Drosophila melanogaster: one gene and its partner. The protein of the gene in region 2 binds, or shares a complex with, the protein of the main gene of each other region. Each region holds a gene or a part of one and is shown on either strand. Other genes may lie near its edges.

The links.
Region 1: CycT (region 2) and lilli share a complex: the UniProt entries of both Drosophila melanogaster proteins name them as parts of the super elongation complex.

The regions. Positions count from the first base shown.
Region 1 is NT_033779.5:2,884,162-2,890,540, forward strand, and holds the start of lilli (lilliputian), read left to right. Parts: upstream 1-1,767; 5' UTR 1,768-2,417; intron 2,418-4,122; exon of another isoform or gene 4,123-4,437; intron 4,438-5,512; 5' UTR 5,513-6,379. Other genes in the region: NTPase, read right to left, coding at 832-861. UniProt on the Drosophila melanogaster protein: Has a role in transcriptional regulation. Acts in parallel with the Ras/MAPK and the PI3K/PKB pathways in the control of cell identity and cellular growth.
Region 2 is NT_037436.4:17,550,432-17,561,504, forward strand, and holds CycT (cyclin T), read right to left. Parts: upstream 7,358-11,073; 5' UTR 6,642-7,357; coding exon 6,065-6,641; intron 5,989-6,064; coding exon 5,943-5,988; exon of another isoform or gene 5,712-5,942; intron 5,401-5,711; exon of another isoform or gene 5,100-5,400; coding exon 4,504-5,099; intron 4,448-4,503; coding exon 2,373-4,447; 3' UTR 573-2,372; downstream 1-572. Other genes in the region: CG7542 (uncharacterized protein), read left to right, coding at 1-218. UniProt on the Drosophila melanogaster protein: Regulatory subunit of the cyclin-dependent kinase pair (CDK9/cyclin T) complex, also called positive transcription elongation factor B (P-TEFb), which is proposed to facilitate the transition from abortive to production elongation by phosphorylating the CTD (carboxy-terminal domain) of the large subunit of RNA polymerase II (RNAP II).

The DNA of each region.
Region 1 (6,379 bases), on a different chromosome or scaffold from region 2:
GTTGAAAGATACAAACATTGAAAGCTGGTAGAAGTGTGCTATCTAGAAAATGCTGATAAGTTTAGACACAGATGTTGTGAAAACAACAAATATCGAGTTAGATACAAAAGTATCTAGTATATATTGTAGTACCGAGTACACGTAGGTACACGAGGGTTAAGGCCACGTTAGCAGCCAGGCACTATCTGCACTCACTTGCAACCGGTTCCGGTTTGCCCGCATCCTGTTCTCCACCCACTTGCGATGCAAATCAGTCGAAACTATGCGATCCAATCGCCCCCGAAATGGGACACTCTATGTGTACCTGTGATCTTTGGGTTCCGATGCGAGAAAGCGATTGCAAAAGTTGTCTAGCGAGATTCGGTCGAAACGGCTGCCAACTGAATCGTTGGACTTTTCTATGCTTTTTTTTTATCAGCCCCCCCTAATGACCTTGCAAATGAGAAAGTTCCTGCTGACTGGTCACCCTAATGCGAATACGAAAATATTTCAAAATAAACCGGCCGGCATTAAGATGTTGATAGAAAACCCACTAGTCATCTCTTTCGTAACTAAAATCAAAATTTGCATAATTGTTAACAAAAGCGTGCTTAGCGGCCATTGCGTATCTATATTTAAATGTCTTGTAAACATACATTTTCAGATACAAATTGGCACAATCGAATAGAATAGAACTTGAAACGATTATTCTGCGAGTCATTTGATGTTTTACTTCCGCGTCAAAAGAGCAGCAATTTGAGGAATTCGCATGTGTGCGTGTGTGTGTGAGAGAGCGCCATGAAATTGGCATTAAATTTGTGCTGTGGATTGCCCTTTTGACCTTTTCCTTACTTTTCTCTTTCGCACATCGGTGTTCGTCATTCTGTCGTCGTTACTTTTCACTTAAATTATGTAAATACGCGAGCGTTTGTTTATTTCGGATCGATTGCTGCCGATCGCCGAGCGGAACGCACTAATGTCGATCTAATCTAATGATGGCCGCGCCCGCCGAATGATAAACTCTGATCAGGAAGCCAACGCGCACGGAATGGCGTCTTGGAATCAACTAAAAACATTTATTTACCACCTGCTCATTTATATGCTGCAGCCCTATCAGCTGTTCGCTGCGGCGCCCACTATCAGCGCATACGGCCACACTGCGGGGGCGGCAGGGATGCCAAAAATTGATGTGGATAACATAGAAATATTTAAAATTGTGAAATTATTCGATTTTGATAAGTATACTTCTTAACGGAATTCTGATAACAGGTGCAGAAATCCAGTGCATAGTACTATAATTGACATATATTAGAGGATTCGTTGTGCCTTAATCCGCTATTTAAATCAATAAGGATTTATCATAGATTCATTCGTAGATTCTTATCATTATTTTGTACCGACAAATAAGATAATTGGATTCAATAGATATTCATTCAAGCTAAGTGTAGATTAGATTATATAGGTATATCATATTTCCCATTAAGATACTTGCCCATTCCAAAATTGGGTTTTCTGGATTAGACATTGAGATAAGAAACCAGTGTTGAAAACCAACACTGAAAACTGCTTATGAATTTTCAAAAACGCTCGGATAAACACATTGCTAGATAAAACTCAGATCGTTAGACAAACCGGTTCCAAAAATCATTCATTAAGTAAGAGAAAATCGAAATTTTTAGCAAATATGCGGTACCGACATTTTCCAGAACTGGACCTATCGTCGCACAGCTGATCGCCCGCCAATCAGCTGGGCGATAGTTGCCGTATCGATAGCCGACCCATCGATAACGATATGTGTATTTTCCTGCTCTCTCTGCACCAACACAAAACACGCAACTAAATTTCGGTTAAAAACCCCTACTAAAAACAATGCAATCGAAACGGAACCATATAAAGTGATTAAATGGCCAACGCGGCGGAGGCGAAATGCGAGCGCAGTGCATTTTCCGGATGAAATCGCGTTTTCGGGGAAACTTACACAAACATTTTTTTCGTAAGCGCTCTCATGTTGTCTCTTTCGCACAGCAGAATTACTAGTTGCTGTGTGTGTGCGTGCGTGCGTTTGTGTGTGCCGTATGCCGTGTGCCAGTGTGTGCGTGCGTGTGAGTGTGAGTGTGAGTGACTTTGACTGCAGTTCGCGTACGTTTTTTATTAATACACCACATAACAACAATCACAACAACAACAAACAGTAATGGAAACTAAACATATTTAATGCGAGGAGACCAGAAATCGTCTAAAACGGCAAGGCTTTATCACCATCGCCACCACCACCAACAGCACAGCAACAACAACAAATTACTACAGCATATATGCTAGTGTGCGTAAACGTATTTGTGTTAAATAATGTTTAAACTGGCATTTCTGATTTCGCACACAAAACAATATTAAGTTGTAGTCACCAGCAGAGAGGAGCAATTGAAGCAAACGAAAAAGAGGTAAGTGCAAAAAGCAGACAATTGTTATAAACAAAATGTGTCAAAAGTTCGTCATGTCGTCGCGCGCTCTCTCTCTCTTTTTTGCTCGTTCTCCCTCTCTCTCTCCGCTCTGTCCTTCTCTCTCCCGCCACGCCGAAAAGAAATTAATTTTGATATTTTTTCCCTGCTTTTTTGTTGCACTCTCTCGCTCTCGCAAACTTTTAATTTTAATTTGCTATGCGCAGCGAATTCGCGCGCAAAGGCAACAAAAAAAGAGGCAATGCAAAGGCAGCAGCAACAACAATACAGGCAAAGTAATAAACGTCAAAATGCCAGACGGACAATTCCTCTCTCATGCGCTCTTTCCGTCGCTGTGTGCGTGCGTGTGTGTGTGTGTGTTTGGGTTTGCTAGCTTTTTGTTTTTATCAATTATTTAGGTAGGTGTTTGCCTTAAAAAGAATAACTGAAACGCAGAAAAATACCAATACTTGTATACTCCAAGTAAAAAAGGGTGAAAGGACACTATCGGCTCAACAAGGAGAATGCAAATGCTATAAGTAGGAGGGGGAGAGAGAGTCACACGCACACACACCTCAAGCAATTCTGATAAGAACAATTGTTATTTGTTTGAAAGCCGACATTCCAATAGTCCACGTCCATTCGCCCAAACGTTGAAAATAATCGACAAACTTAAATACTATTGTGTTTGTTCGCGAACCCAGAGATGCTTTGCCAACTGATGAAATAAATATGGCCAATGCCGTCAGAATAAAGCGAAAATACCATTGTGGTTGGAATTCTCTTAATGTTAACATTGATTACTCCATTTTCTACTTTCTAAACAATGTATTGTATTCAATATTTATATTGATAATATCGAAATAGATAATTGCAGTATTTAATTGTTTTTGTACTTCGAATTAGAAATATGACTTTAATCACGTACGCAACAACCCATGCTTTCTTCCTAAGAAATGACAAAATAATAGTCTCCACGAAATAGGAGAACTCCATACTCAAAATATAAGCTTCAGAAGTTTATAGCCTAAAGCATTTTCCTAAACAAACAGCTTTATAGAAGAGTCTTCAATGAAAAAATAATTTACCTCTCGTGTTATTTATTGAACTCCTCTTTTAAAAGATAGGAGGTCAAGCATTTTAAATGTTTTGGTTAAATGATCTATATAATTGTACAATGTAATGTTTGCTATAACATCTCTAGTCTCACTTTCTTTTGCTTTTGTTATTAATATGAAATGTCGAAGTCATTAAAATTGATTCATGGAGTCAAATTACCAAACAATAGGCATTTACCAACGAGGATGCGAGAAGAAGAAATCGCCGAGGAGAGCATTTTTTCTTTTGTTATTTGCACGGTTTCGAATTCAAATTCCAATCAGCATTCTTCTTTTTCCTCTCTCTCAGGAAACTCATTCACGACTCAGTTTTCGTTACAATTTGATTAAATATTTAACTATAATTTGCATAATCAATTAACAACAAAGTTAAAGAGGATCTTTGGCACTGTTATGTCTACATTGCGTTAGCATTAATGTTAACTGCTGCTCGCACTAACAGTCGACAAAATGTTTGAGATAGCGGTTCGATGGCGTTTGACGGCTCTCTCAGTACGAGTTCGAGTTGCATGCGGTTGAAGGCGAGCGAATCGTCGAATAATAACGGTAAAGATGTAGTACTTTTTGGATTTCGCAGCCGGTCGAACACGAAAATCGGCGCCGTCGTCGCGCCGTGTAAAAAATGTGAGCGAAAATAGCAAAATAAATTTGTAAAAAATATAGAAAATACAAATCGCGCCGCCCAACCGAATATCTGCAATCGAATTTCAATGAAAGTGCTTGCCATCTGAAATATATTCATTTCAAAGAAGTGTGTGTGTGTGCAATCCATGTTTTTTCTGTGTGCAAAGTTCAAAGGCAAAAGCAAAAAGAAAAGGCAATAGCAAGTAGCTAAGGCAAAGGCAAAAGCAAAATCAAATCTAAATCTAAATCAATGTAATCTAAATCAAATGTTATTCGAAAACGTAAGTTCAAAGAAGTGAAGAGTGTAAATTCTTAAACGAAACGAAGCACATGTGCCACCGTCCCCCTTTCCAACCCATCCCTCCCATCGCTTTGTCTCGCTCGCTAGCTCGGAGGCAAAATTTCCAATGCATATCAAATGGAAATCAACAGATCAAATACAAATACAAAAACAACTACAGCAACTTTGTTTTTGCAAACATCGAGAACAACAACAAACAGCTCGAAAACGGAACAGAAGAGACTTCAAGCAGAAGAGAGCGCAAAAAAAGTGAAATGCGCATTTTTTATTGTCAATTTTTCAAACGGCACACTTGGACCTGGACCGTGTGATTTTCTTGCTCTCTCACTCGCTCTCGATCGCACTCACTCACTCTGTCGCTCTCTTTGCTTTGCTAACGGAACTGCCGTCTTCTTCTTCACCTTCTTATTCGTTGTTGTTGTTAGGCAAAAGCAACGCCAAAATGGAAAGGAAAATTTTTGTTGTTGTGGTGCGTTGCCCTTTGCTTGTGCGCTCTTCGAATAAAATCAACAACAACAACAACTAATGAATGAATGAATGTGGTAGCCGAAGTAGCAACTTCACAAACAGCAACGGAGCGGAGCAGATACATTGCGATAATTTTCTCGCTCATCTGGCGTCTTTATGACATTATATACGCTACATTTTGATTTTATATTTAACACCTGCTGTTCTTCCATCAACATTTGTATGTGCATATGAGATAAGTGCATCAGAATGTGTACGTGAGTGTGTGTGTGCTGCAATTGCGATCAACAGCTGTTGCAGGGAGAGCAAAAGAGAGGGAAAGAGAAGAGTGAATATCTGTGCGGATGTATGTGTGTGTCCTTGCTTTTGGTTTTCTTTTGTGGCATTTTGTTGTTGCAGCTGGAAGAATGTTTCCCGAAAAGGGGGTTTTCGGAAGATTCCAATCTGCCATCGAAACCAAATCTAAAATTAACTTTCTAGGTTATATAAATCAATTAACAAAACAACATGGCGAACCGATTGACACATTTTAAAAGTTATAGTTATAGTTCTCAATATAGTTTAAAGAATCACTTTCATATTTACAGCCAACGTTATCATTAAAATTCGCCTCAAATACAAGCAATAATACATAATATGAATAAAACCCGAGAGAAAAAAGTTCAACATCTAGTAAAGAAAGCAAACAAAGTTTAAAAACATTTGCATTAACGAAATCGTAGCCATTAGCTTTAACAAAGTCGCGTAAAAATTTTGAGCAGAACTTAGCAAGCCTATAAAGTACGCCTTCCAATAGTTATTATATATACACGCATTATATACATATGCATATACACAGCCATAGCACTTACATACATACATATATACATATACAACATCGGCCGAAGGGAATTATAGAATGAGAAACCCACACGGGAAGTGAATAAACGATATGGAATCGTGGAAAAAGTGCGTTATATGCTAACGGTGCAATCAAATCTTAATGTAGCCAAGCGATACTAACATATATAGCACATAATATATAGATATATATTTCTTACATCCATCAAGTAAATCAACAATTTTTACAATCCGCAAACTTAAGCTGCTTCAAAATCAACCAACGCAATTACTTTAAGAGATTTACTTTATCGGTAAATGGACAAGCATAAAGAAAACATACGAATATTAGAGAAAAACCAAAACAAAAACTAAAAATCAAGTGCAAATTGCAACAAGTTATTCTAAATATTTAAATGAGAATTATACGAAATTTCCAAAATTTAACTTAAATTATCCTATTATTCATAGGTCTAAGTAATGAATAATAGATTTTATATATGCGCCCCAAGTGCTTAATTAACAACAACATCAACAACTACAGCAACAACACCACACAACCAAATCAAGATTAAAAATAAAAACTATGCAAAACAACAACAACCTCAACAAACAGCGAATCGAGCAATATTATC
Region 2 (11,073 bases):
AGATGATCTGCATGAGCACCACCAGCGGCAAGTCCACCTGCCATGGTGACTCTGGCGGTCCGCTGGTCTACAAGCAGGGCAACTCCAGCTACCTGATCGGATCCACCTCTTTTGGAACCTCTATGGGATGTCAAGTGGGATTCCCGGCCGTGTTCACCCGCATCAGCAGCTACTTGGACTGGATCCTTAACCATATCATCGCCCATAATAAAGAATAAGCTAAGACTAAACTGTTCTTCCTAAGAAAGATCTACTTGCAATGATTTAAATAAACTGGATAATTAAAACACTCTAAAGAGCGGTAAAGTACATTATGACTCCATTAAAATGCATCTAAATTACAAATTCTCTCTTCCAAATTAGAATCCTATTTTAGTTAAGATATTTATTTAAATTATTTAAGAGTTATTTGCTAACGAAACAAATGAGATATTTAGAATAAATTTAGTTAAAATTTTAAGTACAAAATTAATTAATATTTGGACCGTTTTCAAGAATCTGAAGTTTCGCTCAGAAAGTTGAACAAGAAGTTCCCCCAAGCACCGCAAGAAAAACACATATCATTTAATTTTCCTGATTTTTTTGTTGTTTATTTTTTGCATTTTTATAGTTTTTTGTTTAGAATTTTGCGGGGTTTTGAAGATTTTTATTTGTGCCCTCGTGGGGGCGTGCAAGTGACGAGTGAATTCATATTCGAACGCACAACCAAACAATCCCAATGAAACCCGACACTTGCCCGCCACCCGAGCGGCGGGTTTTCCATTTGCTTTCCAAGTATGTACAAAAACTTAAGTTAGGAGGGGCGAGGGGTGGGGATGGGCGTGGGCGGGGAGTGTGGTAAAAGGGGCCAAGAATAAGTATATAAAGGGAAATCCAAATCTTAGACGCAAATTGCGCATTCTTTCGATCGATTATAAAAACGGGTTTCTCGGGTTCCCAACTTAAAGAATACGTTTCTCGACTGCATGGGATGGATGGTGTGTGAATGGATGTGTGGTGTGTTTAGAGCTATATATGCTTGCAGCTTAATGCAGTAGTAGAGAAATCGAATACGAATATACGAGTACGAATAGTTTTGAAAAACGCGCAACGTTCGCTTAACCTTTGCCTTAGTCGAAAATTACATAAAATTTCATTTCATTCTCATTTTCGCCTCGAATATATAGATCATGCCTAGATTTCTATATGCCTAACTTTTGTTTCTCCTCGTTTAGCCTTCTGTTAGTTTTTCGTTCGTTTAGCTTAGTTTGCTTGCAACGTTTTCGCTTGCATTTACATAATTTTAAAACTTTTTGTTTTCTTGCACAACAACTTTTGTTTTATCCAAAATTTAGTTTTGGGTTTCTTTTTTGTTTGCATATTCCGTTTTTGTTTTGGGACTTTATTATTTGTTTTTGTTTTGGTTTTTTTTTTGTTGTGGTAATTTGTTTTGTAATGCTATTTAAAAAATAAATTAAAACAAATGAAAGCTACGTCAACGTTCCAGGCGATCTTGAAACATAATATCATCCGCTGAAACAATCCGATCTTTTTACTTATCTTCATTGAAAAGTGTAAATACACTACTGTATATATTGCTAGGTGTCGAAAACTATATTGAAACACGGTTAGTAATCGGGCAATCGTTCAGAAAGGAAGGGAAAACTTTGCTAACTAAAAATAAACATCTTCATTCATTTTCGGATTAGCAACTATGTATTAATTAAATAATTCATTATGTGGTTTGGCGTCTTCAATTTTGAATCAAAGCGCTGGCTTTCCATTTACTCTCCTATCCTCTGCCACAACTATATGCTCCTCTGTGGGGATTATTTTGAAGTTCTTACTCTTTCTATCTCTCTGGCTTGCATTTAGTTGGGGCCGTATTTAGTATATTTGCTAAGCGGAAGTCTGTACTATATATCTCTTGATTGTGTGTTTGTGAGAGTGGCTATATACAGGTTAGAGTGTGTGAAACGGGTATTTGATTTGCTAACTTAAACGCTAGACGGCCATTGCTGCTCTCTGTGAATTTTCTGCTTGGGTCTCTGATTCCGTTTGCCAACAATTCGCTTAAAACTATTCCGTATTTTTATGTATGTGGGCTTATATGTATGCTATTTATTATAGTTATAAATTAATTAATGCTGTACAAAAGTTTTCGCGATTTGAGTACTGCTTTTACGTCCAGCCCCATCGCGACATCTACTTCCACTCTTCTTCGATCTGCGCATCCGGTTTCACTTCCAATTTGGAGTTTTATCTATGTGCTTAACTAAAATCAATAATGCATCTCACTAACAATCCTAACAACTATACTACAATCGGACTTACTGAGGTTCTATACATATATCAAAACGTACGACTTAAGAATAACCCTCTGACCGCTACCACTACTTCTTGTTGTAGACGGGCATGGGAGGCGGTGCCAGCCCAGCGGCAGAGGGTGGTACTGCACCGGTGGGCGCCAACAGCATGGATGGTGGTACAGCAGTAGACATGGGGGCGCCCATTCCTCCAGACATATTGGGTGCGGCGCCAGCACCGCCAAGGGGATTAAAGATGCCGCCACCAGCGCCATTGTACTTCGCGTAGTCTTGGCTCTTATTCTTTTTGCTCTCCTTGTCGCGGTCACGATCGCTGTGCTTTTTCTTGCTGCTGCCACCGGAACTGCTGCCGCCCGATGAGCTGTAGCCACCACCGCCGGCACCATAAGGAGGCAGAACAGGAGCAGCTGCTCCGATCGAAGCGGATGTGGTGGTAGCCGTAGTTGGAGGCAAGCCATATCCGATTGCGCCAGGCAGACCCGCCGCTGCAGAGTAGTTATTGGGTTCAACCTTATTTTTGCTGATCTTAAGTTTAATGGGAGCTGACGCACCGGCCTGCAGGCTGCCGTTGGGATTCTTGATAACCATCTTCAGAGGCTCATTGGGAAGAGAACTGTCCTTGCTGCCACCGCTGCCGCTACGATCCTTCTGCTTGTCCTTCTTGTGCTTCTTACGCTCCTCCTTTTCCGTCTTGTCCTTGGACTTGTCCTTCTCCTTGTGTTTGTGTTTATCCTTCTTCTTTTTCTTTTCGGACTTGCTGCTGCTTTCCTCCTTAATCTCTCCGGCCTGTTTAGTGGGTACTTCCAAATCCATGGGTGCGGGCCCACTAGCCAAACTGGTCATCGGAGTTATTCCCTGTTCTTTCTTGATTGTCGCTGGTGCGGGCATGGGCTCAAGCAGTTCGGCCGGTGGTTTCAGGCCAGGCATAGTCAAGGCATCCGGTTTCAGGAGCGAAGCGTTCGATGGACACAGACTCTCCTTTAGCAAACTGCGCACCAGATCCGGCGTTGTCTCGATTCCGTTGGACATATTCAGAGGCGTGTGTTTCTCCTCATAATTCGGATAAGTTGGTAGTCCAGTTGTAGTGTCCAGCTTGCGAAGCTTTTCTCGAGGCATATTACTGTTATCTATTTCATCCAGCTTATTTAGTCCATACTGACTTCCCGAGATCTCGTTGGGCCGTTTTAGGCTTCCACTCTCTCCAGGATTGGTCAACAGGTCCCCGCCATGGGGTATCTGCTTCTTGTGAGGCGGTAGCATCGGCTTTGATGATCCCGAGCCGGAGGAACTGTTCCCACTGCCCACTGGGGGCATGACAGGACGGTGCTTATCCTTTTTGGTTGGCGTTAGTCGCTCTTTCTTGGGACTTTCTTTGTCGCGCGGATGGCTATTTAGCTTGTAATCGTGGCCGGGAGGCGCAGGAGGGGGTAGCAAACCGTTAAAAGGCTGTGGTTGCGACTGCGACATGGGCTCCTTTTTAATGTCTGGCCACTCTGGACTGAAGAGCGAGTTCTTGGACTGCAACGAGTGCTGGGATGCCTCCGGAGGCATCTGTTGCTGCTGAGACTGAGGCACTGGCTGCTGCTGCATGTGGCCGTAGCTCTGGCTCTGGGAATAGGGCAATTGCTGCTCGAAAGGCGGCATGCCATGGACGGTGGAGCCGGATTTGCTGCGATGGCCGCCGTATCCGGCGGGAGGCGGGGGCTGGGATCCATTGCTAGCGCCTGGATATCCACCACGCGACATCAGCGGGTTTTGAGGGGCACTATTACTGTATGGCGGCGGTGCGTTCGGATACATTTTGTTGCTCTGGGATTTATCCTTGGAGGACATGCCCGATGCAGAGGAATTAGAGGCGGATGGATGTGGGACCGGCTGCTGCTGCGGCTGCTGGGGCTTGGAGCCCGAAGTCATCTTGTGGCTGCCGTGAGGTGGCATGCCCACGCCTACCGGCGGCATGCCGCGAGAGGATTTGTGATAGTCCACGGGCATAGACGGTCGGCCAGGCTGCTGGCTTGAAGACGACGAGGATGAGCTGCTGCGCTGGCTGCCACTTCCCGAGGAACCGAGTCCACTGCTACTACTACGCTGGTGACTTGAGGGCATTCGATTGTTATAGCCCGGCTGCTTTGACTTGTGATCTTCAATACGAAGATGTTAAAAATGTGATTCTTTTTGCAGTTGTTGAAATACTTACCCGTATGAGCGTCGGGCGGCATGCCACCAGGGTAATTTGGCATCTTGTGACTGGAGGAAGACGACGAAGAGCTGCTGCCTGGCACTCCGCTCACTGAGGACGAGCGCTGATGGCCACCATCCTGTCGTCTTTGCTGCGGCACCATAGCCGGTGGCGGCAGTAGTGACGACGGATCCCGTTCCCGCTCTCTCTCCCGTTCACGATCTCGGTCCCGATCCCGGCTGTCGTTGCCGTTTAACAGCTCTGGTGGTGTCGTGATGTTTGAGTGGTAGCCCTTCATCATCTCGGTGATCTTCCAGTCCTCCTTTGGTTTGTCCTTGCTGTTAGCTGTCCGATTGCTGGCTCCCTGGGCGATCGCCTTGATCGAGTTAAGCTTAGACTTCAGACGGGCCGGGCTCTTCTCATAGATAGCGATGAACTCATCTGTCAGCTGCTTTAGCAAATCCAGCGAGACCGTCTTGTCCACATAGTAGAACCAGTGTTTGCCCTCGGTCGACTGGGGGATCTCCCATCGGGACCACTTGCAGGCTAGGTAAATGCAGAAACAGGCTACGACCGTGGGGCGATATTGGAGGCACATCGAGGTCAGATGCAGGCTGTGCCAGGATGGTTAAGTCAATTTAGTGGGAAATCTTTTGCAAGAATATCACATATAAATGTAGTTCGGTGAGTGTGTGCAGGGGGATTTCATCACTTATAATACAGATTACGTCTTTAGTTCTTAGCATGTTCTTAGCGAGTCTCTTTTATTTCTTGGGGATCTTAAACTTAAAAGAATTATTCTAAAACGTTTGCCGATATTTCGAAATGCGCAAATTTTCCCAATGAGCTCTCCTCATGTAATCAGAATTTTGACTATGTTTTAGGTAGGCAGGTATGCCAAACTGAATTTATCTTTTTTCCAGATGTTTTAGTATGCCAAAGGATTACAATGGTTATCATTACAATTCTTCAAATATCTTTTTCTAGGAATTAACGACTCTTTCTAGGAATTAGTCTTATTCTTGACATTTGGCGGATTTTCCGACACAAATTACAATGTTATTGCAGGCAACTGAGGATAATTACCGCGAGGGACACGGAAAATACTGCCTTTTTGCTAAGATGCGATATTTGTACAGACGTCCTGCTGCGATTAGGGACCGCGTGTTCTTGTTCGATTTGTGACTTGGGGTCGTCACTTTTTTTTTTTGTTTCGACTCACATACCTGGGTTTGTTAGCTATAAGCGAGGAATTAAGCAGGTAAAAGAACTGCCCAAAGATTTTAGCCACAAAAAGTCAGGGATCGAACTCTCTACAGCCTGACCACTTTCTGGGGAGGATTGGGCCAACACCACACCCGCACACACACACACATTGCTTATACCACAGCCGTATTTGCGTTGGGGGCGATCTCTAGGAGGGATTACACCATAGAGTAGCGCATTGCTAGCCATACCTGTTCGAGGCCAAGAAGTACGATGTCTGCGCCAGATCCTTGCATGCTAAAATATACCACAGTAATCAGTACCATCTGACATGTGAAGGGGACATGGCTTGGGTCGGATGGTGGGTGCATACCTTTGACCAGCTGGCAGGTGCGCACCACATGCGTGTGCGGATGATCGATGGCCACATCGAAGCCCAGCGTCTGCAGGAGCACGTTCTCGTTGAACACAAGCTCCTGGGCGAGTTCGGCGTAATTCTGCTCGGTGGTCGGCGGCAGGCACTTGTTGGCGGCCCGAATAACATGCTCCAGCTTCCGCGGTTGCTCTTCTACCTTGGCGGCCAAGAAGAGGCTCGCCGACGCCATGGAGTTGCGATGAAAGTGGGTGAAGGAGTGAAAGGCGTAGAACCGATGCATGTACACAATGGCCGTGTTGATGCACAGTTGGGACACCTGCAGACGCTGACCCATTTCCTGTATCAGATAGGCGGTCATCTGGCGGTACTGCAGCTCATCGTCGCCCTTGATGCCGCATCTTCTGCTTGGCGAATTGGCCAGCTGATCGTTGCTGAAGTACCAGATCTTGTCCTTCTCGAAAGGCAGGTTGTTGTTGGCGGTGATTGGAATCCCGCTGGCCGAGGCGGCCGCGGAGGCGGATGAAGAAGATGAGGCGGTGGCCGCCTGGGGCATTGGCGTGGCTAGGAGACTCATGGTTGTATGTTTCCTTTATCCGTGCAGCGGAGATGGGGATCTGGGATTTCGGGTTCCGCGTGGTTATGCGGGGACCTCCGTTTCACATGCAAACTGCGCCTCGGAATGGACCTAGTAATTCCCTTTTGGCTGATTCAGCTGTAGGAACTAACTGTACGAAGAGGAAGGGAGAGCGCTCTTTCTTTGTCGGCCGTGCTTGAGTGCGCTGGTATTGGTGTCTGTGTCCGTATCCGTGTGCGTTGCTGCTGTGGCGGGGGTGGCAGCGGTACGGAAGGGGCAGTGGGGATCGCACGGCACATCGGCTAAGCCACACTCGATATTTCGCTGTTTTTGGGAGACTCCAATTTGGGTTTGGAACGAGGGGTTAAATCCGCGGTCCGCACACTTTTTCCGCCGCCGCGTCTCTGCGTGTTTGTTTGTGTGTGTGTGTGCGTGGTGGAGATGGTATGGTGTGGTGAGGTTTTCTGGAAACTGCGACTGCGGCGGAAACGAAACGAGACGAAAAACACACTAACCGCGACACCAGGCGACGTGTTATGCAACTTTCGTATCAATTCATAGTTATTCGCACTGCTTTCGCCGGGCACTTTAACCATTACGGGTCGTTTACTCGACGTTTTTAATTCCACAACACATCACAGATTCCATTCACACAGTGACAATGACAAACTTTGCAGAAAAAAATGTATTTTCAAGTATGGCCGTCGGCAGGGCTGCCAGATCGATAAGGCTTTCCAAACCGATGTTTATTTCGCATTATCGATATTATTTTTAAAATATGGCAACATTGATTCTACTGTTTATGTTATCGATTAATAATCGTAAGGTAGATATTCAAATAAATGTAAATACATTTTTAAGTAACTTACCTTAAACTTTACATTTCGCTAACACATGTAGAAATATCACAATGTCAACATTTTTTCCCTTCTTATTCAATTAAAAAATAACGTATATTCCGGGGGAATCGAATTTGTACTTAATATGTTTGAACAGTCCCATCTTAAATATATCTTATTATATGTATATGGACATATTATATATGTACTTTGAGCACCTTCATTTAATCGCATGACTTTTTTTTATCAAAATATCCAAATGTTGTTATGTATATGTTTATATACCTAGTCGGACAACCAGCACTTCGGTTGAAGCCAATCCTCAAACACCGTTACATCCAGAAAAACTTTATGGGCTGGTGGAATCATTGGTCCGTACTTCTTCAAAGCCGACGATGGCCAGTACGTTACAGTAAATGACGATCGGTATAGGGCTATTGTTACCAACATTTTCATTCCTGAATCGAACAACCATGATGTCCAGGACCTGTGGTTCCAAAAAGAGGACGCAATATGTCACACAGCTCGTGCCACAATCGATTTAATGGTGACCGACTAATCTAACGTTTTGGACCTGTAATTGGCCTCCCAGATTTTGTGACTTCTTTCTGTGGGTGGGGATATGTAGAGTTATTGGTCTATGCGTATAAGCCATAACCGACCGAATCATAAGAAATAATACTAGTAGTAAAAAAGACATTCCGAATTCCTGTACAGCTCAAAATGGCTATACATTTTGAGAGCGATGCTCTACCCATTTGAAATCTGTCATAAAAACACATATGAATTTTTTATTGTTATTTATAAAACAGATAATATATATTTATAGTTTGTAGATTAAAATATACAAAATTTAGCTAAAAACCTTAAAACTCTTATGTCGTCATAACAGTAAATAATTATGCTAGCTTGTGACTGTTACTTGCTTCGTTTTTCTTAATGCATTCTTATAAAAATTAATCTAATCCGTTCGCTTGCGCTTGCCTCTAACCATAAAATTCACCTACATACCATGACTTCGATCCAACGTTCGTTTCCTTACTACATAAGCATTAAAGTATATATATATATATTATATATATTGTGGCTGGCTTTAGCTGATTTCTCATCGCAGACATTTTTAAAATGTGTCTGTCAAATGTACAAAGATTGAACAAAAAGTGAAATAAACAGTCTAAAAACTTAACTTAGGTTAGTAAGTCAAAAACTAATCGTATCTAATGTTAATGCATTCAACATATTCGTCTAAATCTAGGCCAATCCATATCTCTACTATTCTCAGGCGGCATAGAATACCTTTGAATAATCGCACGTTTCCATTTAAAAGCTATATAGTTCGTTTCGTTTTTGAGTTACCAATAGAAAGATATCTTGTCTTAGCCTTAGCCTAGCATAGAAATCTTGCCCAACGGCATCGATATTCTATTGCATATAATTTAGTTGGTCTTATCCAGCCATTCGGGGTTATCCAATCTAACAAATAATTGGTGTATACATATAAAATACGTTTATAATCGAGTGGAGTCATGAGGTCCAGAAGTTGTATATGTACAATTATCGTGCTTAGCATGTATAAATGCTTTCGGGTTGGAGTCTCCAACTGATTTAGGCTATCGAAGTGAAAGGAGAGCTCTCTGGGAAATAGGAGATTGAAATTTAAATGTACTATCTCGATTTAAAGCTGCATTATCCGGGTTGTGGCTCAGATTCTTGTTTACCGATTTCGTTGTACTCGACTCGTGATTTTTGCATATCTGGTTCGATGCTGCTCTTGTTGTGGGTGTGCTTATATCTAAGGTCTTATAACATTTAAATATTCATTCCCTAACAACTAATAACTGATTTACGCTAGGTAATAATGGTAGATGCGGTGATCTACGCCAATAAATAGACATACATATAAATCCATGATCTGGGGGAAACCTCATAAACTGAGACCTCGTGAAATGGTGTCTTAGAACTACAAAATACACCGACTGGACTTTATCTAAAATATGTGATCTCGACTTCAAATATCGTCAATCCGAATCTCGACTATCCTATATAGACTTTGAATATATTGTAACTTATGCAACATTATGTACTTTTCATGGGAGGTATATCTAGATTCCAAATTTGTAGCGGGTTCCATATATTTGTATCATATCTTTGCTTACGTTCTATATTTCATTCGGTTTTTATATTGGTTTGTTTTTTTTTTGGTGTGTTTGGTTTGCGAATGTGTAAATAAAACGCATGCACAAATTGAAATAATAATTTTATTTAAAAAATAAAAAATAATCATAAAAAATTGTTTACAATGAACAGAGTTGAACTCAAGACTCACTTTGTTTATTTGCATCATCAATCACCAATCATCATAAACAAAATGATATATTGTAGATTTCATCTTCACGTACACATAATAATAATAATAATAGATAAAGGTACTTAGAGAACGCAACTATTAAAGAATTAGATTAAAGAACTAGGAGTTGGTTTTATTCTCTTTCCTATTCAAGGTATCCTTTCAAGAGATTGCACGTTTTGGGCAGTGTTTGGAAATTGTTGTAGAAGTTGTCGGTATATTGCATTGAGGATTGCGGTTGCAGTATTGTTGAAACTATGGGTCAGTATCTCGGTTTGGTTCGATTAAATGTCCAGATCTGTTCCATTATGTAAGGCTTGTTTCGATTTGTGGCAGTGTGACGTTAACAAGAATACGGTAGTTTAACTTTATGCTTTATAAATAAACTTCAGATCGAGAGACTTGAGTTTGGTTTGGTGTTCTAAGACTGCTTAAACGAGGGCTCAAGAAGTGCCTTCTTCGGGTTTATCCTGTGAGCTTTTCTGCTGTTGATGTTGTAAATATACAAAACTTATCAAATAATAATTACAAGAAAGTTTAGACCACCAGTTTGCTGGGTTCTTAGCTCCAGTTAGGATGTGTGTGTTTTTGTTGTTTTGGGGAAAGTTTCGGGGGATTAGCTGGAGAAACACTTAAATAAATATCCTAAACGTAGTCGTACAAATAGCTAAAACTATGAAATAATAAATTTCCATCTCTCTTCGTTTATAAAATAAGCAACAAAAACAATTAGCCCAAGCACAGACACCCGTGCAGATCGTTCAGATCTCCGTATACATATGTTCATACATAGACCCATATCTGCATCTGCACTGAGCTTGTCCTCGGGCAGCGGGTTGGGCTAGGGGACAGTTGAAAGGTCATTAGGCTAGGCATATACATACTCATATACATTTAGATTTAGCATTAGATCAATAGAGATAGAGAAATTCTTGCAGCTATAGGGGTTCGTACTCATTTACATATTACACACATCTATCGAATATCAATATGAATCAATTCGGTCGTCCTTCGTCCTCTTCCTTCCGCCATAGCAGTAGCAATAATAATTATAATATTAATAATAGTAATAGTAATAATAATAATAATAATAACCAATAATAACAATATTCATTACAGTTACAGTTTACAGTTAAATCTACAGTTACAAGTACAACACTAACGCCCATGAATAGATCATTATTTACCGTCGATTTAGCTGGGTGTATGTATAGGGTACAGGACACAGGGTGTGAATATATATTTA